Kluyveromyces lactis: one gene and its partners. The protein of the gene in region 6 binds, or shares a complex with, the protein of the main gene of each other region. Links are inferred from orthologs where the notes say so. Each region holds a gene or a part of one and is shown on either strand. Other genes may lie near its edges. The genes, in order: SAP30, DEP1, RPD3, SDS3, RXT3, KLLA0_E19933g and ASH1.

Region 1 (2,355 bases), about 790 kb from region 6:
TCCGATAGAAAGAGTCCCAGGTGATTCAAAAAGTATACCTTTGGAACATATTGGTGAATTGGGACAATTAAGGCAATTGCTATGGAATTAGGGTTCCAGTCTGCTATCAGGTGAGTGGTAATTGGGCTTGGTTTTGTGGGGCAAGAATGGTTCCATGTCTTGTCGATGCACATTGCCATGTGTCTACTATGGTGGATGCTGTAGGATGCGATAAGATCAGAAGCAATTTGGACCTGGCCCTTGCCGGAACGGCAAGTGATGTCCAACGGTGTGTCATGAGCACGAATGTGTACGACTGGGAATTACTGGAGCCCCTGCTGCTAATGAAACAACTGGATGATGAAGGTCCCGGAATCAATGTTAGTCTTGGTGTGCATCCCTGGTATTGCCATTTATATCAGTTAGATAGGTCGCTTTCTAAGGTAGGGCATTATAGGAATTGTCTTAAATGTAAAGACGAGGTACAGTTGATGGAATTGGTAGAGCAATTGCCGGATCCAGTAGATTTGTCAAGTTACTTGTCAGATGAGCGGGTTTCTCGTGTGGGTTGTATTGGCGAGATCGGATTGGACAAGGTTTTTCGGTTGCCTCAGAATGGCTTTCTCGTGAGCAATAATGGGACATCGTTGGAAAGAAGTAGTTTAAGCAATGTAAGGGTAGAGTTTGCACATCAGATCCAGGTATTTGAAACGTTATTAAAAGTTGCAAAGGGAAGGGGGTTGCCGGTTTCGATCCATTCTGTGAAATGTCAAGGTACTACTTTTGATATTTGCAAGAGAATATTATTGGATAGCGAGGTGAACATATGTTTGCACTCGTTTACTGGGACATTGGATACGGTGCGGCTATGGCTGGCGAATTTCCCACATGAACGGCTTTTCTTTAGCGTTTCGTGTTGGATCAACTTGAAAGACTGGGATTCTGGTGCTGAGCTGTTGAAGAGTTTGCCCTTGCAGTGTATTTTGACAGAGACAGATTGTTCTGTGGATTCAGTGTCGTCGCAAGAGCAACGACAGATGCTAGATTCCGTTCTTGACGCCATTTCAAGAGCTCACGGCATTTCCAGGACTAAGGCGATGGACACGGTATTACAAAACTTCAATAGATTCTTACGTAAATGAGATGAGACGCAGGGACTGCATGTATGTTCTTTGTTTAATGTAGTCATCCTCTATATCTAATTCCAAGTTATTCCCACTTATCTAAGAAAAAAAAGTGTCTTAAGTACAAAATTTTGATCTTTTTGAACATTTGTCCAGGTGGTAAAGGGCATTACCATGTACTGCTCCATACCATCTCAGGTGTCAAATAGAGTGGGTGCTGTACAGTCACAAGGATCTTACACGACATGGCACCAAGGGGACACAATAACTCAAATTCAGAGTCCGAATCTAAGGGCAAATCATCGAACAATGCAACTTCAGGTGCATCGACCAGGACCAGTGTGAAACAAAGACTCTCGAGTGCTCAACAGCAATACTTGAAGGACTTGAACAAGAAACATATACATAACAATCATCCGAAGAATGAGCCGCTCCCAAATCCGATGGATTTCGAACAATACTCCGATGAATTTTTAAGGCGGTATAAGGATAGGTTCCAATTGAAATCTCCAGATAATCTATCAATACAAGGGTACCTTCTAGGATCAAGGATTGGGAAACATACTTACTCGGCGAAACGAAACCAGAAAAATGTACCAGATGCAAGGGTTACGAAGCAGGAGCTTGCGAAAGGTGTCAGGGAACACTTCGATAACTATACCGTTCGAGAAGCGGAATGCCTTCCTCAGTTTATTTACAAAGTACAAAATCAGAAAAAGAAGTTCAGAATGGAGTTTAAGGGATGAAGCGGTGGTGTTGCATAGCTCACTTCCATCTTGGGCATGTAATTCGACATCAGCCTAATGGCTTCATCTATTTGTAACATATATGAATAATATAGAACGTAATAATCAAGGATATCAACGGAAATCTATTTGGAACTAGCGTTCTATACGCTGATTATATGCACTGCAGTGAAAAGGACAGATTGCACAGCAAGCTGTACACACGTCCTTCTGCTCTTTAACATTTTTTTCCTTTACAGGTCGTTTACACAATTTTTCTCTTTAATAAGAAATGAATGATATTAATTATCATTCACAAGTAAAAACTGTAACAAGACAAGTATTTGCTCCATAACCAGGCATACTGTGTTTTCCTGTCTCCAGAATAATTAATATCACAGCAATATATTGAGAGCAGACAGAAATTATTGTGTTAGATAGAGTATCTGAATTAAAACTTTAATCATGGCGGATCAAAGTTTCACATTATTTATCATTTTGGCTATTGCCGGTTATATTGCTGTGAA
Region 2 (3,527 bases), on a different chromosome or scaffold from region 6:
GGAAGAGTCGTCCTTAGGTTCATCCTTAGGTTCATCTTTAGATTTAGAATCACCTAATACCTTAGAATAATATTGAACTTCCAAATTATCATTCTCTTCATCATTCTTCTTGGTCTTCTTCTTTTTCTTCTTCGGCTGTTCTTCCTGTTCTTCCTGTTCTTTCTCTACTCCTTCGGAGACAGTAGAAGCACTTTCCTGGACATTCTCTTCTTCTTGTTCATCCTTATCCTGTTCAGGCTCAGTTAGCACAGTCCTAGCTTTCGACTTTACTTTACGCTCATCGACATGATTAGGTTTGGAGAATAACGCTGCAATCGATGATGTACCTGCCGCGTCTGATTTGGAATTTCCAAATAAATTGTTCAATGCGGACATCCCGTAATATAATTTTGGTTTGTTATGTTTGAAAGACCCTGGTTCACCAACACAAACGTTATTCCTCTGCACTAAACCTGCTGGTGGCTGTCCAAGTCTCTTCGATGCGATGAGCTTTATCCATTTGTCTGTTGAATTATCGAAAGTGAAAAACCTGCACTTCCTAGAAAAGCCAGCAGAAATCATGAATTTACCACCAAAAAGAAATGCGGAAGAAAAGCGTACGCTCTATGGACAAATCGAATGTATCGTAGTCACGTGATTAACACCGTGGAATGTACTATATGGCCGGGTAACATCATGTTCCTTTTCCTTAAAAAACGTACAAACTGTAAATAGTGCTGAAATGCCGAAATATAAGTTAAGAATAAAAATACAGTCTGATTTTAGCATGAACATATAGTTATGGCCAGTCAGCAATCAATACATAGATCTCATCCAAACGTGATTTAAAATATTGTGTACTACTAAGAATAGAGAGAGATAACTGTTTTGCTAGTAAAAATAAGAATTACGCGAAGTAAGGTATATTTGCAGCCCTTTGTTTTAGTGTGTCAGGTATCAACTTTCAATCTATTCAAGCAGCAATTCTTAACTTATACTGCGCATATTAAACGGTTTGCTGGTTAAATTTTGTGTGTTTCTGCATTGGAGTATAAGCTAAGTGTTTTTTCTTTGCCATCAGCCGATTGGAGTAATACAAAGGTTGTATTGGTTATATGCGTTGGGATTTCTTTCTTTTTGAATTCAAACGGTACTATCTTTGAATCATTCAAATGGAGCCAGAGAGAAACAAAAATAACAGTGTAGAGGCTGCGAGTGAGATTGACGATCATAATACCAGATCTGCCCCCACTACGAAACTTACCAAAGAAGTTTTAGAGAAGATTGCTTCGGATTCTGATTCTGTTAATTTTAACGCAAATAGTTATTCAAGGAAATCGAAATCAGGGAGTCCCTCAAAGGTTGGTACATTAGAATACGACGATAACAGTACCAGTGGATTATCTAAGGTCACTTCTCCAGAACATCCAAACTCAGTCTCTCTATCGGACATATACATCTCATCAGACGCTGAGACCGAAAAGATGGATTTAGAAGAGGACGAATCACGTGTCAAACTATCGGAAATGGCATCCAATTCGATTGAAAGTAACGGTAATGACAAAAGTAAACAAAATGATGATAATCTTTCGAAGACTGTAAAACAAGAGTACATCAATAATGGTGTCGGTAGTTATATTCAAGAATCTGCCCCTAAACTTGCTACTCCTTCAAAAGATGAGGGACCAATCGTTCAGCAAGATAAACCAGCCGAAACAGAACCTGAACCAGTACCGTATGAAGATGACGCTGTTGCTGATACAGATCATACAACAGAGCCAAATAAACTTGCACTAAGCCAAAACCAGGACGAAGTATCTGTACCTGCCGAAGGAGGCAGTCAAGAAGAAACAATTGCAAACGATGAACAAGAACAGCATGCTCCGGTAGTAGAGGAGCAGGCGAATGATAACGAGATCAAATCGCAAGAAGAATCAGAAGTGTCTTTAAAGCATAACCGTGAAGAAGAGCAACAGTCCCTAGAGAACGGCTCGGAGCATGTCAAGTCTGAACAGGTGTTCAAGAAACCGAAATTACCTACTGAGTCAAAATCAGGTCACTATGAAGACGAGCATGAAACGCATGAAAACGGAGATCATGATGTTGATATCGACGCGGATGCAGAAGCTGAGGATGATGGTACTCTAGAAAGTGAGGTTGAGGACAATAATGAGGATGAAGAGGAAGAATTAGAACCCGAAATGGACGCAGTAGAAGAAGATAATGATGAGAAACAACAGACAGATACACCTGGCGTCGATTCTACCGATAATGGACTATCGCCCATGGAGAAGGAAAGGATAAGACAAGACGCTTTGGCAGAACTAACAAATATTGAAGTCGAATTTGCTCAATTGCGACAGAGTCTATATGAAAACAAGCTGAGCAAATTACAGAATGAGCTACAGATGTGTCTAGATGGATCACATCCTCAACTACAGACTTATTATCAGAAGATTGCTTCGATACGGGACTTTAAGCTAAAGAGAATGTACCAAAGGCAAAAGTATGAGCTGGAGTGCATAGATACCGAAACTAGGGCGACAAGAACGTTTATTCATCAAGATTTCTACAGAAAGGTCTCAGATTTGAAACATAAGTTATTAGGAAACACAACCCAGAAGTGGTATGACATCAATAAAGAGAGACGTGAAATGGACGTTGTTGTACCTGAAGTAAATTATCACGTTCCAATAAAAATTTCAAATAAATCTTTGAGTTGTATAACCGGATACGCAGCTCCTGCCAATCTGAGACGTCCAGGCGACTTGTTATCAGAAGATTTATTATGTGAAAATATCAATTTCAGATATCATAACAACCCTGTCGATAAGTTAGAAGTCATTGTAGACAGAATGAGGTTTAATAATGAATTGAGCGACTTAGATGGTATAAGGAAATTCTATGGAGGATTCCCAGGTGCTCCTGAACTTGGTGGTTTAAAAGATTCTGAAATTCATGAGGATCTTGCAGGAATACAGCATCAACAATAGGTCATATAATTTTTCACTAGGTGCTCCAAAAACCAGAAAACACGCTCTTATCAATAGTCAATAAAATGTCATCTTGATGAATCATCATTTAATTATCGTTTTGTTATGATGTGTAATCTTTACAAGTATAATATATGCATGACTGTGTATATGTATAGCACTTTTAACATTTCCACGATATGAAAGTGTATTCGAATTGACATCTGTGAATTCGAGAAACCTTGATATTTTAAAATATACAAAGATGTATGTTATATATGGAATAGAAGATATACTTCCTACTAATTAAACATTTGTTGGACGTTGGTAGAGATAAAAGCGTAAATAATAAAAAGATGAGAAAGAAACCCCAAAAATAGTAGTCCTTGTGAAGTGAGGAAAGGTTGTGATGAATTGGTCAGATTCCAATGTGAAGCGAAATATCTTTATTTTATTAAGACACCAGGATAGAAATAAAACTTATAATAAACCGTATCCAACCCGATGATATTTTTCTATAAGAAACAAAGGGATCGATATCATGATTTGATGTCCAAATTAAAAGGGCATTTGAGG
Region 3 (3,154 bases), about 1.6 Mb from region 6:
AGTCATAAATATTGCAAGAGATAGATTCTCAGACTCTATCGGAGCTCCTAAAATTCCTAACGTGACTTGGGATGATATTGGTGGGATGGATGTGGTCAAAGGAGAAATCATGGATACCATAGATATGCCACTCAAGCACCCTGAACTATTTTCATCTGGTATGAAAAAGAGAAGTGGTATTCTTTTCTATGGACCTCCTGGGACTGGTAAAACCTTGTTAGCGAAGGCAATTGCGTCTAACTTCTCTTTAAATTTTTTCAGTGTTAAAGGGCCTGAACTTCTTAACATGTACATTGGTGAATCCGAGGCAAATGTTAGACGTGTCTTCCAGAAAGCAAGAGATGCTAAGCCATGTGTCATTTTTTTCGATGAACTTGATTCCGTGGCACCAAAGAGAGGAAATCAGGGAGATTCTGGGGGTGTTATGGATCGTATTGTGTCTCAACTTTTGGCAGAACTAGACGGAATGAGTTCAGGAGGAGACGGAGTGTTCGTAATTGGAGCTACGAATAGGCCAGATCTTCTTGATGAAGCATTATTACGTCCCGGTAGGTTTGACAAGATGTTATATTTGGGGATATCAGATACCGATAAAAAACAGGCAAATATCATCAAGGCTTTGACGAGAAAGTTCACACTAGAATCTGGTATCGATATACTAGATATTGCCAAAAAATGTCCGTTCAACTATACAGGTGCAGATTTCTACGCATTGTGTTCTGATGCCCTTTTAAACGCTATGACTAGAGTTGCTGGTGAAGTTGATGAAAAGTGGGAGAAGTATAACATGGAAAATAAAAAGAATATATCATTGAGGTATTGGTTTGATAACGTGGCAAACGAGAATGACTTGAAGGTCGTGGTAAAATTACAAGACTTCGAGCTTGCTCAACAGAATCTAATACCAAGTGTTTCTGAGGATGAATTAAGACATTACTTGAGATTAAAGAGTAGTTTCGAATCTCAATGATCGTTAATAAGTAATCATATCGAATATTATTATAAATCATATATAACAAATATATTAACTCATCCATGCAGGATGATCTGGTCAGTAAAAAGTTGGTCTACTTCTTAATCTTCTTCAACTCGTGTAACATGACAGATCTCTTTAAGGCTTTTCTTCTTTCTTTAGCTGCTTGGAAATTCTATATTGATGGAGACGGTGAAAAATGAAGGTAGTGATTTCTATTAAAACCTTGATTTATGTCGAAAACATACCAAGAAAGCTATATAAACAAGAGGTGAAAAATTTGTACCGGCTCTCCAACTTAGCGAAACTATTAAGATTAATTGTGCGTGGACGGTATGGTATACGAAGCTAAACCTTTTGACCCGATAACGGTGAAGGCTAACGAGAAGAAGCGAGTTGCATACTTTTATGATGCTGATGTGGGAAACTATGCTTATGGTGCAGGACATCCTATGAAACCACATAGAATAAGAATGACACATTCGTTGATTATGAATTACGGTTTGTATAAGAAGATGGAAATTTACAGGGCTAAACCTGCAACGAAACAGGAGATGTGTCAGTTCCATACCGATGAATATATTGATTTCTTGTCTCGAGTCACTCCAGATAATTTAGATATGTTCCAAAAGGAGAGTGTGAAATTCAACGTTGGAGACGATTGTCCTGTGTTTGATGGTTTGTACGAGTACTGTAGTATATCTGGAGGTGGTTCTATGGAGGGTGCAGCCAGATTAAACCGAGGCAAATGTGATGTTGCCATTAACTATGCTGGTGGTTTACATCATGCCAAAAAATCGGAAGCTTCAGGGTTCTGTTACTTGAACGATATAGTGCTAGGTATCATCGAGTTGTTAAGGTACCATCCTCGTGTTCTTTATATTGATATTGATGTGCATCACGGTGATGGTGTAGAAGAAGCTTTTTATACTACGGATCGAGTTATGACATGTTCTTTCCATAAATATGGGGAATTCTTCCCAGGTACTGGTGAATTGAGAGATACTGGTGTCGGGAAAGGTAAATACTATGCTGTGAATGTCCCATTAAGGGACGGTATTGACGATGCCACTTACAAATCGGTATTTGAACCAGTCATAGGTAAAATTATGGAATGGTACCAACCTTCTGCCGTGGTACTCCAATGCGGTGGTGACTCTTTATCCGGCGATCGTTTAGGTTGTTTCAACCTTTCAATGAAGGGTCACGCAAACTGTGTCAACTACATGAAATCGTTCGGTGTTCCTCTCATGATTGTTGGTGGTGGTGGTTATACAATGCGAAACGTGGCTCGTACATGGGCTTTCGAAACGGGTATTCTGAATAATGTGATTTTGGATGAAGAACTTCCTTACAACGATTACTACGAATATTATGGCCCTGATTACAAATTGGATGTCAGACCATCTAATATGTATAACGTCAATACACCGGAGTATTTGGATAAAGTGCTACTTAATATTTTCAGCAATCTAGAGCATACTAAATATGCCCCAAGCGTTCAACTCAATCACGTTCCTCGCGATGCGGAGGACAAAGGTGACGCCGAAGAAGATACTGCAGCTGCGAAGGACACTAGAGGAGGTTCTCAGTATGCAAGAGACATAACCATTGAGAATGCAACCGAATTTTAGCCAGAAAACAAAAACAGATGATCTTTTATTATTTACTGTATTATAATATATTTACACTTAGAAGTACTCTTCCGCATTTGCTACAGGTTTTATCGTCACTCACCTAATCACTGTTATATGTCATTCATCCGACGGTTAATATGATGCTGAATATACAGATTGGTGCCCAAGTTAGAATTGATCTAATGAGGTCAATTTTCTATCGTGTTTTCCCTCCGTCAGTATCGGTATTTGCCATAATTTTCCACGTAATACTATTCCAGTTCAGATATGACTTACATCTGCACTTCGGTTGTCAGTAACAAATCTATATATGAAAAAGATCAAAAAATGAAAATCCAGAAGCGAATGGATATTTAAAAGTTAAGATCAGATAGGTCGATTACACAAGAATAAAGCTTATCCTATTTCATATAGAGATATATATTATCTGATAGTAGATACGTTGTATCTAAACATTCAAATCACAGTTAGTAAATTTTGCAATGGCTGTTAAAGGTTTGGGTCAATTGGATCAAGTTTATGATGGTTCTAACTTGAGAATTGG
Region 4 (2,966 bases), about 1.0 Mb from region 6:
TACACCAACACAAATTAGAAGTGCAATTGTTATCACTATCAGTAGCTTTCTGGTTCTATTCCTCATGAGATAAGATGGAAACTATCAGTAATCATGCAAAAAAAAGTGGAAAAGATGAATGTGTACGTCCCAATAGTTGAAGATGAAAGAATGAGGTTTTATACTAATATTCTTGGTACTTTAATCGACTGTTGAGTTTATGTTTATAAATGGATCGCGTATTGCGCATAAATCATCGTCAATAGATAACTGAAATATCAAAATTCAGATTCTGTTCACTTTTTTGTGCATACATTAAAAAATACGCAGTATTATAAAGTAGTAGTATTACACATGAGATACACTAAAAATACAAGGTATAAGACTGACAATAACGGATAGTATTTGGGACCTAAGCAGTTTGGGAAATATTGGATGACAGAAAAAAAAAACTGGTAACATTTTAGTTTCTTCACTTGTACCCCAGACCAGATTTACAAGATAAATCCAACTATTGATATTCATTTGAATGGGGCTGGTACTTGGCCCGTTAGCTTTCTTATCAAAGATATATCATCAGTAACCTCATCCGGAGTTAAAGATTGAAGAATAGGAGCGCTTTTTGTCGAAAGTCTTTGGTGACCTCGACCCATCTTCTTTTCCTTTTCCTTTTCCTTTCCGAACAATAAAGCCTGTAATTCTGATGAATCGCTCAGATATTGCATCGACTCTGCATCGCTATTAGTATTGCTTGATTTCCCGCTTCCGTTTGCAGGTGTAATGTTTGCAGGAGTTTGAGCTCTATTCTGATTAGTAGCAGCACGCCTACGCAATGACCTCCTATCGGTAGTATTACCAGTCTCATTGCCACTTTCTGTTTGGCTGACATCGTTCGGTGACGAATCCCAAGCCGAAAAATTGGCTGAATTTTGAGTTGAGCTTCTAGTCTGCTTCTGGAATTTCCCTCGAGAATAATCCATCGAATAAGACTGTGTGTTTGCTACATCCAGAAGTAGCCGTTCCTCTTGCAATTTCTTGATAGTTTTCTGTAGGGATTCATACAACATCTCTTTGCACAATTTGATCATCCTTTCATGTTCTTGCTTGGCTTTTTCAATATCTTCTTGGAACTCTACTTTGGACCTGTAAATCCGGTACTCTTCGAAAAGCCTGAGCCTAACTAATTCCAAATCCCTATCTTCTTCAAGATCCCTCAATTTCCTCAGAAATTCAGGGTTATTCCCCTGATGCAGCGTCGTTAAATCTGTCTGTAACAGAGTCAACCTATCCCTATAATGCACATCTTTATCCTTTGCAAACGACGTTCTTATCTTTCCCACTTTCCCTTCAAACTGTAATCGCTTCTTATCCTTCCTACTCAAATCCTGCCCAACACCTGCGGGAATAGCACCCCCATTCTGTTTCGCTCCTTGACCTTTCTTCACACCGCTGCTCATCATAGAATATTGTACTTCATCCATGTTCCTCGGGGGGAGAAGCTGTATTTACTGCAAAAGCTGATATAATTGTTAAAGTGAAACCAGAAAAACTCTCCGGTATCGTTTCTTACCAATTATCCTGTGAAATTACTAACACAGAATAAAAAATTACAATTGAAAACGTTAACACAACGAGTTAATGTGCTGCTCGTTACATGTATCGTGCAACGTATGAGCTGGGTACAAATTATGTACAAATTATGTATAAAGTATGTACAAAGTACAACTGCTTAAGCTGCTCTGATTTAAAAAAAAAAAAAAAAAAATAATAATAATCAAATGAGACAAACAAGAAAATGCCATGCTTCTGCCGTTCGAACCTCAATGCTCCCATAACACTGATTTATTCATTGCAAGTATCACCATTTTCTTTTTTAAATTTTTTATGTTCCGTTTTCCATCTCATTTCCCCGCAGAAAAGTCGCAGCTTCAGATAAGAAAAGCTTAAAGCTGGCCGGTATAAGTGCAGGCTTTAAGTGTGTTGAAAGTTTTTAAAGGCTTTGAACTTTTGGCAATTTTGGTAAAGAAAAGGGAAAATTCCCAAAAAAAAAAAAAGTAAGTTAAGTTATAATATAATGACGATGTGATTTTTTTTTTGTTAGGTGAATAGAAGTGAAATAGTGAGACTAATTCAGAGATAAAACAGTGGTACGCAGCCTGTGATACACATCAGTGTTGTGTGTTATTAGTACAGATAAATCGCTGAATTTTGCGGTGCTTTGAACTACCCCTAATATTCTAATACTTTAAATTTCGACGTTATAAGTGTGTCGATTTTATAAAGCTCTTCTTTTCAGTCTTTCCAGTTCATAGGAAAGAAAGAACAGAGAACAGAGTTTTCGAAAAACATATTGGTTTCCCCTTTGGATATAATATTACCTGACTTTGAGACTTGTATTCCGAGTTGTTTTTGTTGTTTTTTTTTTTGACTGAGAGAACAGTATGGATATTGACGATTATTTGAATGTCGATAGTCCCAGTGACATCGGTGCGAATGTACTGTTAAATCCGGAAGATTCTGACAATTCTCGAGGGTCGAAGGTTGCGCCTGGTTTCAATGCGATGAATAATAGTAGGAAATGTGGTGTCAAGCTGTCTGACTTCGGTGGTGATATACTGTCAGGTTTTAAGGAGTTTGGGTTCAGTGTCGCGAATTCCTTTTCGAAAGAAACTGGTGATAATAACAAAAACGCACCTTCAATCCCTAGTCTTAGTATAAATGGTGTCCTGGCTCACGATATGCTTAATCGCAGTGTGAAAAGTAACGCCCAGCTTCAGCAGCCACCTAGCGTCAACCGTAACAACGGTAGAAATGCTAATAAATATGTGTCACATGAATTGAATATACCAAACACAGATCCATCTTTTTTGTTCCCTGCCTTGTCCACTAATGAGACTGACAATTTGGATACTGTGTCGTCGGCATCTAACTCACCATATATTTACCCATCAGATGCAATCTCACCAAGTACTGGGTACCTTGCTCTG
Region 5 (2,723 bases), on a different chromosome or scaffold from region 6:
CCATCTTTTCAACATTATATTCCAGAAACAAACTTAGCGTTTTCACAAGGACGTATAGCATGGTGTATATTTTCTCCACATTCTAATGATATCAAAATAAACTAAATAGACTTCATCTCCGGTCTTTAATATCCACATATTCTCCCAAAGTATCTCCATTGTGTGCAAACTTACATGCAATGTTGCATTCAAATACAGTATATGATCTTTAAACTCCCCTTCTCATTGCTCTTATCCACTTTGGTATCTATTGTGTAATTTCACTTCGAAATTTTGTTTCATCATTGGTAAAAGCTAACATACTCTTTTGTGCATGTTGATGGTGTATTCACGAGTAACGACGTCTTTCAAACCGGCCATTTTGTATTCGATAGTTCCTCAGTGTACTGCTTCGTTCTTCTCTATTAAGAACCAACACACAAATCAAATAAACAGTATCGTAAACGCCTATTAACATTCAGAAACCTCTAATTTCACCACTTACAATATAGCTTATTTCTCAGTATCCAAATAATATTTCATCGAAAATCAACACTTTCTCTCTGGTACTGGAGGGAATAGACTAGGCACTAGGCTGGAGCAAGGCAGCCAGTGGTGGGTGAAACGCCTAGTATGTCCAAACCTGGCTGGGTGGCTGCCCAGGCTGGTTCCAGTAGACGGAGGAATGCCTGCACTCTGGACAAGGAATGGTTGCCGGCTGGGGTGTAGAGCTAGAAAGGTGAATTGGCATCCTAGGCAGAGTGGGTAAACCTGTCATCGGAGGCCGCCGGGCGTTGTCAAGCGAGGTTCCTCAGGCCTGTATCATTGCTTCCCACACACAACATGTCCTAGAAATGTTTGTGTCATTCGAAGTGCGAAATGCGGAATGAAAGTTTCCTATTATAGAAAATGAAAACATAAAACTATTTTACATCAGAGTGCACGGATGTTACAGTGGAACAAATGAAGCCTCACGAATGTACGGATGTTATAACAGTCCCGTATATAGACTATTATGGTCAAACTGGTGATGAATGTTGTTAATGAAAGAATCTCCATCTGTACATCGAATACACAGTGAATTCATAATATAAATCGAGAGAAATTTACTCCTGAGCAGGGTCGATTGATACATTATTACAAGCTGAGAACTTCGCAGTGGCTCAATTGATTAGTTGCCGATTGTATAGCTGGTAAAACTTTGATTTATTCAACAGCTTTCAGCCACTGTTTGAATATGAGTGATGAGTTGTACAGAAAAACCCAAAACAGGATATACAGCATGCAAGAGACACTGCTGAATAGTTCTAGGGAGTCCAAACAGGCCCGAGATCAGGATACGGGTAAAATCGGATCATCATCATCAGAAGAAGCAGTTGCTGCACCGGCTAATACACAGAATGTTGCAGATGAAAGTTCCCAAACAGGGGAACCTGAAAACAACACTACCCTTGAAACTGCAGCTCCAGACAGCAAACCTGAAGATGACGAAGACGAAATAGACGTAAACTCTAAATCTGTCCTTGAATATACAGAGAAGAATTACGCACTACAGCGGCGCCCTTTGGCCACCTTGGAGTACGACTCCATGAGAGTTGGTGTTTTTCCTGGGGATCCGAAATTGGAAGCCCTTCCATTCCCTTATAATTTCAAGACCATCAGATCTCCGAGACCTTTTATTCCAAGGATGTCTCATAACCATATCAACTCAATCCTTACAATACAGATCGATTCCATATATTTACAACAAGTGGCCCGTAGTGAGAACATACGGTACCAAAACCGAGAGATATGGGGCACAGATATATATACCGACGATTCGGATATTATATTAGTACTTCAACACTGTGGAGTTTTGCCATTTTCTGAACCATTGGATCAAAACAGCAATGGCAAGCCATCCAATGTTCACTCTTTGAAAACTAAATTGAGAAGAACTCCTACAAATATGTCGGACCAAAATAGTGTGACAGGAGCAATCCCAGAACGTGAAATTCCATTTGCGATCAAAGTGGACATCCTAATGTTACCACCTCTTCAAGGTTATGCGTCATCCACGAGAAATAATATCACATCCAGAGAATGGACAGGGCAAGTCCATGACGGTTTGTCGTTCGGAATTTTCCATGTTGATATTGTGGTGATGGACAACACATTAAATGAGATACAACAATCTGACAAGACTAAGTCACTAAAGTGGTAACGCTGCATCAAGAAAAAGGCCAGCAGCCGGTATCTTCCGTCCCCCAATATATTTTCTTTCGTCATGTGTCTCGTACAAGTGACGAGAAAGTTGACTTAAATCGGTTATGTGCAAGCCGTGCGTACTGCATCGATGCGTGCCGAAAAGAATATGTACATTTGTATATGTAAAAGCGTTGTGTATAGATTACTCAACAATGTAATATCATAATAATAACTACCATTATCTCCACTGCCATGCAAACCTTCTAAACATAGAGGTCTGATATATATGCTATTTTATACGTCCCTGCAACCTTCTTTTAAATTGGTTGAAGGTTCCTTCTATTCTTTTAGTGACATTCAATAAGATTAATAATTGGGAAAAAGATTTGAAAAGACCGACCATAAGAGAAGTGTTCGAGACGTTAACGGCTACAAAGTGACCCATAAGACCCTGAATCTTGTTTCTTGGTATACTTAAAGATTAGGTTAGAGTAAGGGTCTCACTGATTCTAACTTCTGGGTGACTTTTTACCCCTGGTTTTACATTTTACATTATT
Region 6 (3,620 bases):
GGCCATGACATGTGTTTATGAGAAGAAAACTGATAATAGTGTAATATCTAATATATGCATGTATATATGTATATGATTGTAAGAATAGCGAAAATTAATGCCATCATTGATATAGCAGTAAAATGTAAATAACAAAACAACGTAATAGTACGCACTTTTCATTTAAGTGTTTATGCAAAAGGAGCAGCCCGTGTCCCTTTGCTATAATAAACTGAATAGGGACATTATTATGACAAAAAATAACCATATGGTACAGTTCAAATGATTTGGCATAAAGATAACACTGTAACAGTATTATTGATGTTCTATTGTAGTTATAGTACTTGTACAATGGGGTCATAATCAGGAAAGTGTGTGCGTTTATGTGATAGTAAATCAACGACAATGATGATTGAAGTAGCAGCGACTGGCGCCACGATACACTTCGGGGTTCATGTTCATACATGTCTGAAAGTGGTTTGTAAAGTAGTTTTTTAAGTTTTTGGTTCTTGATAATGGTATTAATACAGACAGTTTATCATCAAACAATGTGCTTGAATATCGTATTCAAACTAGGCAGTGGCTGAGTTGGCACTTGCGGTAGTCGATGGTTTTGTGGTGGTTGAGGAGATTGCGATGAATTCGGAGTGAACTGGGGCGTTTGTTCATTACTAGCCTGTGTTTGAAGAATTTGCTTCGGTACGCTGGCAGGCATCCTATTGCCATAAAAAGATGAGTTGTTCACATCAGAAATAGTTGGAGAATGGTCTCTCAAGGAATGAGCGTCCGGTGAAAACACTGGCGATCTCTCACGAGCGGAAGAACCAGTCGAAGATGTTTGAGAAAACGTAGGAGATTCATCTCTTAGCTGAGTTGGGGCAATAGAGTCTTCCATGCGGCCAACAATCTCTACATCAACATCAACATCGTCAATGTCGTCATGCTCCTCTACGGCAGTATCTGGTGAGTAAGTAGAGTGGACCTCATCTGAAGAACTCGATTGATTAACATTGGCGGAAGGACTAGCAGTACTAACTGCATCGCTAGGCGTTATATGTAACGAATCCATTCTCCATTGGATCTCTTGTTCTGATCTATGAGGTAACAAGATTGAAAGCTCATCAATGGACAAGTGGTACCTTTGACGTTTTTCTACCAACAACTTATCCTCATCGCCAGACCAAGGTTTTGCAAAGCCATTGAATGATCCAACGGCACATACGGATGAAGGAGGGGGTTGAGAGCTTTGTTTTATGGGCATATCAATGAAACCTGCTTGCATAGACTCACGTCTAAACTGAGAGACAGAGTTCCTTCTAGACATAGATGGATTCGTCGTGAAGCTTTCTCTCCTTGGATTCGCGGAAGATGCGGGCAAAGTTGATGAAGGCATGACAACAACGGAAGATCTTCTAGAAGATCCGTTAGAAGACATTGGGATGAAATGCCTGTCGGATGCTACGTTGAAAGAGGAACGTCTGGAGCGCGAGGAGAAGGAATTTTTCCTTGATTTCGTACTGGCCAGGTTTGGCAAGTTCGATTGTGGAGTGTTATTCACAACGACCGCGGAACCACGTCTACTCTTGATGAAGACTTTTGGAATAAAACCAAAATTTTCCTCTTGATCATTGAAATGGGGCATATTTGGTGGGGCGTCCTGTGAATGAGAGGAAGACCTGGGCTTTATAAATTTCCCATGAGGAGCAGGAGAAGCAGTAGAGAACGGAGACTTGGACAACGATCCGGAATGTGCAAGTCCGTTTACCGATAGGACACTAGATCCAGCTGTAGCAGCAGATGACGAAAAAACACCCATGTTGCTATTGTTATTATTAGTAGCACTCCCACTACCATTCAACCCATGAGGTGACGAAAGAACGGCACTATTGGTAACTTTTGAGGTCGGAATTGGCATGGGCATGGGCATCGGTCCCGTAGAACTAGACTTCTTTGCCGTATTCTTCTTCGCCGTCGAAGAGGACCCAGTGTTTAAAGATTCCGCGCTCAACGTAGGTCCTGCAGAAACAGCCATTGGAGCAAGTACTGGAACAGTCACATTTAACAACTCATCCTCCTCCTCATCCTCCTCCTCTGGCGACTTCACCGTCTTTAAACTGCCAGATTTTAACCTTCTCCACCGAAATTGGCACGCGTTAGGAGTTCTATTCGTAAAATACTGAGCAATATCCTTCCATCCCAGTCTTTTCACCTCTTTCAAGTGTCGCAACAAGACATCGTCCTGAGGTTCCCACGAACTCGGAGTCCTACTGGAAACGTTTTTTGGTGCAGTCATCTACCCTTTCACTTAAAAATATTGTGAGTTATAATTGTAAAGTATCAGCAACCAAAACAAAATCCACTATTTAGAGCAGTAAAACCAAAATTCAGCTCAAAAATTTTCGAAATGTAATCAAAACGACAGTAACAGCTTTCTAATAGCTCTAATTCTCTAGCTCAAAGACCTGTTCTCATTAACACAACGAGAGGGAATAAAAATTTTGAACGGTCCAAAATAAAACCGACAGTAGTTTATGAACGATTTTTCTTTTTAAACAACAAAAAATCGCCTTAAATTCCTTCCAAAATCGGCTAACAATAAACTAACGTATTGACAGTTATGCTCTGAGTCGATATCACTGAGGTCAGACTGAGTACTGAACCAATAAAGACAGGTTTCTGCCTAGGAAACAAAGAGTGTCAAGTTAAATGACAAGACTCGATGAGGTCGAGTTTAGTGGCTTTTTCTTCGTCGCGATGAGTTGGAAAAAAAAAAAATTTCGAATTTTTTCAGTGTGACAGCGATGAGATGAGGTGACAGGTGAGATGAGAAGAGATGAGATGTGATGTGAGTATACTGAGTGAGGGTCCTGTATCTTACCGTTCACGTGTCTTTTTTTGTTTTTTTCGTCTGTGTACTTCTTGCAAATGGGGTTCCCCGGTTGGTTTGGGACTGGTGCGTTAGTCTACGCCTTCGGAAAGCTATTGCAGTAGTGTGTAGAATGTGTCAAAATAAGCTTATGGGAGGTAGGGGGATGCACTCCGGGAGGTGATAAGTGCGTTGGTAGGCCATTGGATAGGCTTCGGAAGATACCCATTACACGATATTTTTGGACATCGTGTGGCATGTACGGTCTGTGAATGTTTCCATGCGGACTTGAGTCACAGAGTGGAGCTTAACCTTACATCCGGGTAACACTCGAAAATTCTGTACAAGCCATCTCACGATGCGCAAGAGGATATGCAACTCATCCCACTTCAGAACGATAAAAGGACTTCCTGTTTGTTTGGCATATTTTCGGTTCATTATGGCCATTGTATATCACTGTGAAACAGCTTCTACACTGTATATGTCCAGAGCACTTCAGAAGATGACAGGTTTGAAACAGATAAGGTACTTTGACATTGGGTTCAATATCTCTGATCACATGTTCAAAGGGAAATACCATGGCAAGAAGCAGCACGAGACGGATTTATCCAATATATTGAACCGTTGTAGATTGACTAATGTGGATAAGCTGCTGATTACCGGATCTTCACTGGAAGAATCGAGACATTCCATTAAGCTTTGTAGTGAATTTGCAACTGAAAATGGACCAAAGATGATGTACACCATCGGGGTGCATCCGTGTCAGGTTAACGAA
Region 7 (3,441 bases), on a different chromosome or scaffold from region 6:
ATCGATCCCTGACCTGGGCGGGACTGTGAATCCTGACTATTTGCTGGAACTGTGCTATCCTGGCCGTTCTTATCCTTCCCACTTTCGTCAAATCTAACTTTACAGTTCACATTGCATAGTAAGGTTCCGGTACCTGGTATCACATGGAAATCAACCGCGGTGATAACGTGCTGCGTCAGTACCACTCCAGTTTGCCATGCCTGAAGGAATTGCACTGCCTGTCCAAACGGTTGGGAATTGAATATTATTTTGCACTGATGTGGGTTAAATAGCTGTAGGAATTGTTCCAACTTTGCTGGATCGGGCTCATCTAGATGAGCCAGTACTTTCTTCACAAAAGTCTCCACGATTTGAGGTTGACGATTCATTTTGATAATATCAGTTGATGATGCTTTAAAGAGATTTGCTGATTTTTATTGAAGGCTTTGATAACGTTTACCTTAATACTATTAATTTCAACATCGATCAAAAATTTTATTATTAAATCTATGGAAAGAAGTCTTCTTCTCTCCAAATTTCATCTTGGGTAAATTCAATTGACTAGCTTCATCAAATGCGGGTAACAAACAATATATGTACGCGTTGTAATTTCCTTGATGATTTTAGGTAGACCCTGATTTCAAAATCTCTCAAATGAACACATGCAAACACAACTCTAAATGCTGATCGACTCGAGCAAATATCTAGCGTACATATTGTAGAGTCGGATTTTTCTTTTCCTTATGTCTCTTTTGCCAGCACTTTTGTCAAGCTGCCTCGCGCACTAGTATTCTTTTTTTTTTAAATTCTATTTTCTGCTTGCATATGTGAAGAAAGTGTAAACATGAAAAACCCAGCATCGAAATGTAAATCCATAATACCAGCCGAACAGATACCAAGACTTGGTGTGGAAAAATAAACATAAACAGAGATCTGAAAGCTAAGTGAACATCGCTGCGCGATTCCATTACATGATATATGATTTTGTAAACAATGGTTGACTAGTTTTGATCAATTTTATAGCCGGTAAGAGAAAAAGAAGTATATCTTTTGTCTTTCCCTTTAGTTTTGCAGGCATAGAACAAGTATGAATTCTTTTGCCAAATCGAAAAAAATTCGGTAAACCCTCTGCGGGTTTGGCGCAGGTATTCTTTGTTTACACTTTTTTCTGTTTCATCGATATATGGATTCCTACTAAGTTTGCGGGACTGAACTGATTGAAATTGGTTCAGTATCCCTAGAGTATATAAACCAGAATCCAAATCTGGGTTTCCATGGGACAATTCTTTCAGATCGATTGGAAAGATAATCCCCTTATTTTTACTGAATTAGGTATCGTGGTTGATATATGACAGTTCTAGCTAATCCTTATAAGGCCTGATATATTTCTTCACTCTTCAAACACTGGTCCTGACAACTGTGTTACACATCAATAATTTACTTCAATTAACACCGTAACTTGTTCCCCATTATAGAGCATCGAATCAGCTCATTTCCCATCGCTTCGACCTTTTCACTATTCAAGCTAACGATGTCCACTATTTCGAACCCTTTACCATTCACCAATCCTCACGCCGAGCAAAAGTTCTACGCAAGAAGAAAAAGATCCTTTGATGATCTATTATTGCCATCTTTAAGTACCAGTTTGAACGCCCCAATGACATTAGAAGAATCGCCATATTTCTTTGACGCCCGGAAAAAATCTAAAACGGCGCCAGCCTCACCTTCTGGATTCGTACAAATCACGCCTACTACATCACCAGTGTCCGCTTCATCTAATTCTTCCATATGGAGACAGACAGTATGTGAGGGAAGCAGCATTAGCAGCAACAGCAGTAACAATATTGGAAAATCAACTCAACTGCCTTCCTGTTCACAACTACAGAATGAGGTTGCGCAACCCTCGCAACCAGCACTACAACCATTAAAGCATCTAAAGTTATTGGCACATCCTAAAATACAAGAGTTTTCGTACCTCTATCCAGACACTTGTGCCTCCACGCCTCTATGGAGGCAAAACTTAACAGAGTGGTGTAAGGAAACTAATTACACTCAGTACCAAAACATTACAGATCAGGTATCTCAAGCTAATCCAAGAGCTGGTAATTTTACTCATGGATTAAATATTTTAGCCGATGCTGCTAGAATATCATCGATCAATACTTCACCAGATGAATTCTATCAACTTTCAAACACTTCAAGCTCCAGCAAAGTACTGGTAACCCCACCAAGTAGTCCTCCCAGACAATTCACTTCTATGATCAGCGAATCATTAGTTAAAGCGGTAAAGAAGAACCGTTCCTCAAAACATAAGAAGACCAACAGTTTTAAAGCAAGAAAACTGAAGAAGATGCTGGATCAACGCATATTGCTTACATATGAAGACAAATTCGAATCACAAAAGTCGGTATTTAAGGCTAATCCTGCACCACCAAAGACCCCTCCACAAAAGAAGATTACACTATCCACAACTCCAAAATCTCTTCAATCTCCCCAACAGAGATTTCATCCTATTGTGATCAACAGCGTGGAGGATTTCGGCGAAAAGACTTCGGCGAACTCCAACTCAGAAGACGACACCGACCAAGAGCTAGTCCAAACATCTCCCAAAAGCTCTCCAACACAAAGGCGTAACTCTCATAGATTTTGCGTTTCATGTCACATTACAGATTCCCCGTGTTGGAGACCTTCTTGGTCTAAAAGCAAACAAGATCAGCTTTGTAATTCTTGTGGGCTCCGTTATAAGAAGACCCATACAAGATGCACCAATGAAACTTGCCGTAAAATACCTTCAAAAGGTGAATTGACACTTATGAAATCAAACAAGCCAGTTTCGATTGAGGACGCTGACGGAAATACTGATTACAAAATAGCATGTTTGTTCTGCGGTCACGCCGTTGCTACTGACGAATAGGGCAGAAAAGCCTGATAAAAAAACCAACCTTCCTTGCATAATTAACTGATCCCAACTTTCAACGGAGCTTTTTACCTTCTAATATTGCATTTATAAATACTTACTTCTCTTTTCCCTTGTTTGTCCGGATAATATTTCCACTATTCCCTTTCCCTTCAATTCTAACTAATTTGATTAATATAATGATATAATCTAAACATATATTCTTCCTATAATTTATCTAATGTAGCGTAAATTAATATTTTCACACTTCTGATCTTTGAGCATCAATATCATAGGTTGATATTGATGACTGGCACTTAGTAGCTGCTTCAGACCTCTTCATAAAGTGAATGATTTTTTCTTTCTTTTCATTAATATGCCATTTACGTCAAGATCGATGTATGTTCGCTATCTGAAAATGAAAAAAAAAAAAAAAAAAAAAAAAAAAAACTTCATCAAAAATATAAATAACTGGAACCGTCAATATCTCATCACTTGCTTTCGTTTTGCTTTAATATCTGAGAAAGTACAGCCTAAGCACCTCATCAATACAGACAGTCATGAAC

Evidence for each region.
Region 1: KLLA0_E19933g (region 6) and SAP30 share a complex: the UniProt entries of both Saccharomyces cerevisiae proteins name them as parts of the RPD3C(L) complex. The link is inferred for Kluyveromyces lactis from reciprocal best matches to the Saccharomyces cerevisiae genes DOT6 and SAP30.
Region 2: KLLA0_E19933g (region 6) and DEP1 share a complex: the UniProt entries of both Saccharomyces cerevisiae proteins name them as parts of the RPD3C(L) complex. The link is inferred for Kluyveromyces lactis from reciprocal best matches to the Saccharomyces cerevisiae genes DOT6 and DEP1.
Region 3: KLLA0_E19933g (region 6) and RPD3 share a complex: the UniProt entries of both Saccharomyces cerevisiae proteins name them as parts of the RPD3C(L) complex. The link is inferred for Kluyveromyces lactis from reciprocal best matches to the Saccharomyces cerevisiae genes DOT6 and RPD3.
Region 4: KLLA0_E19933g (region 6) and SDS3 share a complex: the UniProt entries of both Saccharomyces cerevisiae proteins name them as parts of the RPD3C(L) complex. The link is inferred for Kluyveromyces lactis from reciprocal best matches to the Saccharomyces cerevisiae genes DOT6 and SDS3.
Region 5: KLLA0_E19933g (region 6) and RXT3 share a complex: the UniProt entries of both Saccharomyces cerevisiae proteins name them as parts of the RPD3C(L) complex. The link is inferred for Kluyveromyces lactis from reciprocal best matches to the Saccharomyces cerevisiae genes DOT6 and RXT3.
Region 7: KLLA0_E19933g (region 6) and ASH1 share a complex: the UniProt entries of both Saccharomyces cerevisiae proteins name them as parts of the RPD3C(L) complex. The link is inferred for Kluyveromyces lactis from reciprocal best matches to the Saccharomyces cerevisiae genes DOT6 and ASH1.

What each region holds. Positions count from the first base shown.
Region 1 is NC_006041.1:986,117-988,471, reverse strand, and holds SAP30 (Sap30p), read left to right. Parts: upstream 1-1,348; coding exon 1,349-1,849; downstream 1,850-2,355. Other genes in the region: KLLA0_E11243g (putative endodeoxyribonuclease), read left to right, coding at 147-1,121; CUE1 (Cue1p), read left to right, coding at 2,294-2,355. UniProt on the Saccharomyces cerevisiae protein: Component of the RPD3C(L) histone deacetylase complex (HDAC) responsible for the deacetylation of lysine residues on the N-terminal part of the core histones (H2A, H2B, H3 and H4).
Region 2 is NC_006042.1:735,903-739,429, forward strand, and holds DEP1 (Rpd3L histone deacetylase complex subunit DEP1), read left to right. Parts: upstream 1-1,151; coding exon 1,152-2,972; downstream 2,973-3,527. Other genes in the region: rRNA-processing protein NOP12, read right to left, coding at 1-375. UniProt on the Saccharomyces cerevisiae protein: Component of the RPD3C(L) histone deacetylase complex (HDAC) responsible for the deacetylation of lysine residues on the N-terminal part of the core histones (H2A, H2B, H3 and H4).
Region 3 is NC_006041.1:185,630-188,783, reverse strand, and holds RPD3 (histone deacetylase RPD3), read left to right. Parts: upstream 1-1,308; coding exon 1,309-2,607; downstream 2,608-3,154. Other genes in the region: PEX6 (AAA family ATPase peroxin 6), read left to right, coding at 1-970; lumazine synthase RIB4, read left to right, coding at 3,093-3,154. UniProt on the Saccharomyces cerevisiae protein: Catalytic component of the RPD3 histone deacetylase (HDAC) complexes RPD3C(L) and RPD3C(S) responsible for the deacetylation of lysine residues on the N-terminal part of the core histones (H2A, H2B, H3 and H4).
Region 4 is NC_006041.1:774,585-777,550, forward strand, and holds SDS3 (Sds3p), read right to left. Parts: upstream 1,461-2,966; coding exon 501-1,460; downstream 1-500. Other genes in the region: KTR5 (putative mannosyltransferase), read right to left, coding at 1-66; DNA-binding transcription factor CRZ1, read left to right, coding at 2,421-2,966. UniProt on the Saccharomyces cerevisiae protein: Component of the RPD3C(L) histone deacetylase complex (HDAC) responsible for the deacetylation of lysine residues on the N-terminal part of the core histones (H2A, H2B, H3 and H4).
Region 5 is NC_006038.1:261,914-264,636, reverse strand, and holds RXT3 (Rxt3p), read left to right. Parts: upstream 1-1,216; coding exon 1,217-2,182; downstream 2,183-2,723. Other genes in the region: RPL31B (60S ribosomal protein eL31), read right to left, coding at 304-360. UniProt on the Saccharomyces cerevisiae protein: Component of the RPD3C(L) histone deacetylase complex (HDAC) responsible for the deacetylation of lysine residues on the N-terminal part of the core histones (H2A, H2B, H3 and H4).
Region 6 is NC_006041.1:1,774,014-1,777,633, forward strand, and holds KLLA0_E19933g (SANT/Myb-like DNA-binding domain-containing protein), read right to left. Parts: upstream 2,273-3,620; coding exon 521-2,272; downstream 1-520. Other genes in the region: KLLA0_E19955g (3'-5'-exodeoxyribonuclease), read left to right, coding at 3,204-3,620. UniProt on the Saccharomyces cerevisiae protein: Component of the RPD3 histone deacetylase complex RPD3C(L) responsible for the deacetylation of lysine residues on the N-terminal part of the core histones (H2A, H2B, H3 and H4).
Region 7 is NC_006038.1:232,043-235,483, forward strand, and holds ASH1 (DNA-binding transcription repressor ASH1), read left to right. Parts: upstream 1-1,510; coding exon 1,511-2,893; downstream 2,894-3,441. Other genes in the region: MTR2 (Mtr2p), read right to left, coding at 1-368; ornithine decarboxylase SPE1, read left to right, coding at 3,436-3,441. UniProt on the Saccharomyces cerevisiae protein: Component of the RPD3C(L) histone deacetylase complex (HDAC). Responsible for the deacetylation of lysine residues on the N-terminal part of the core histones (H2A, H2B, H3 and H4).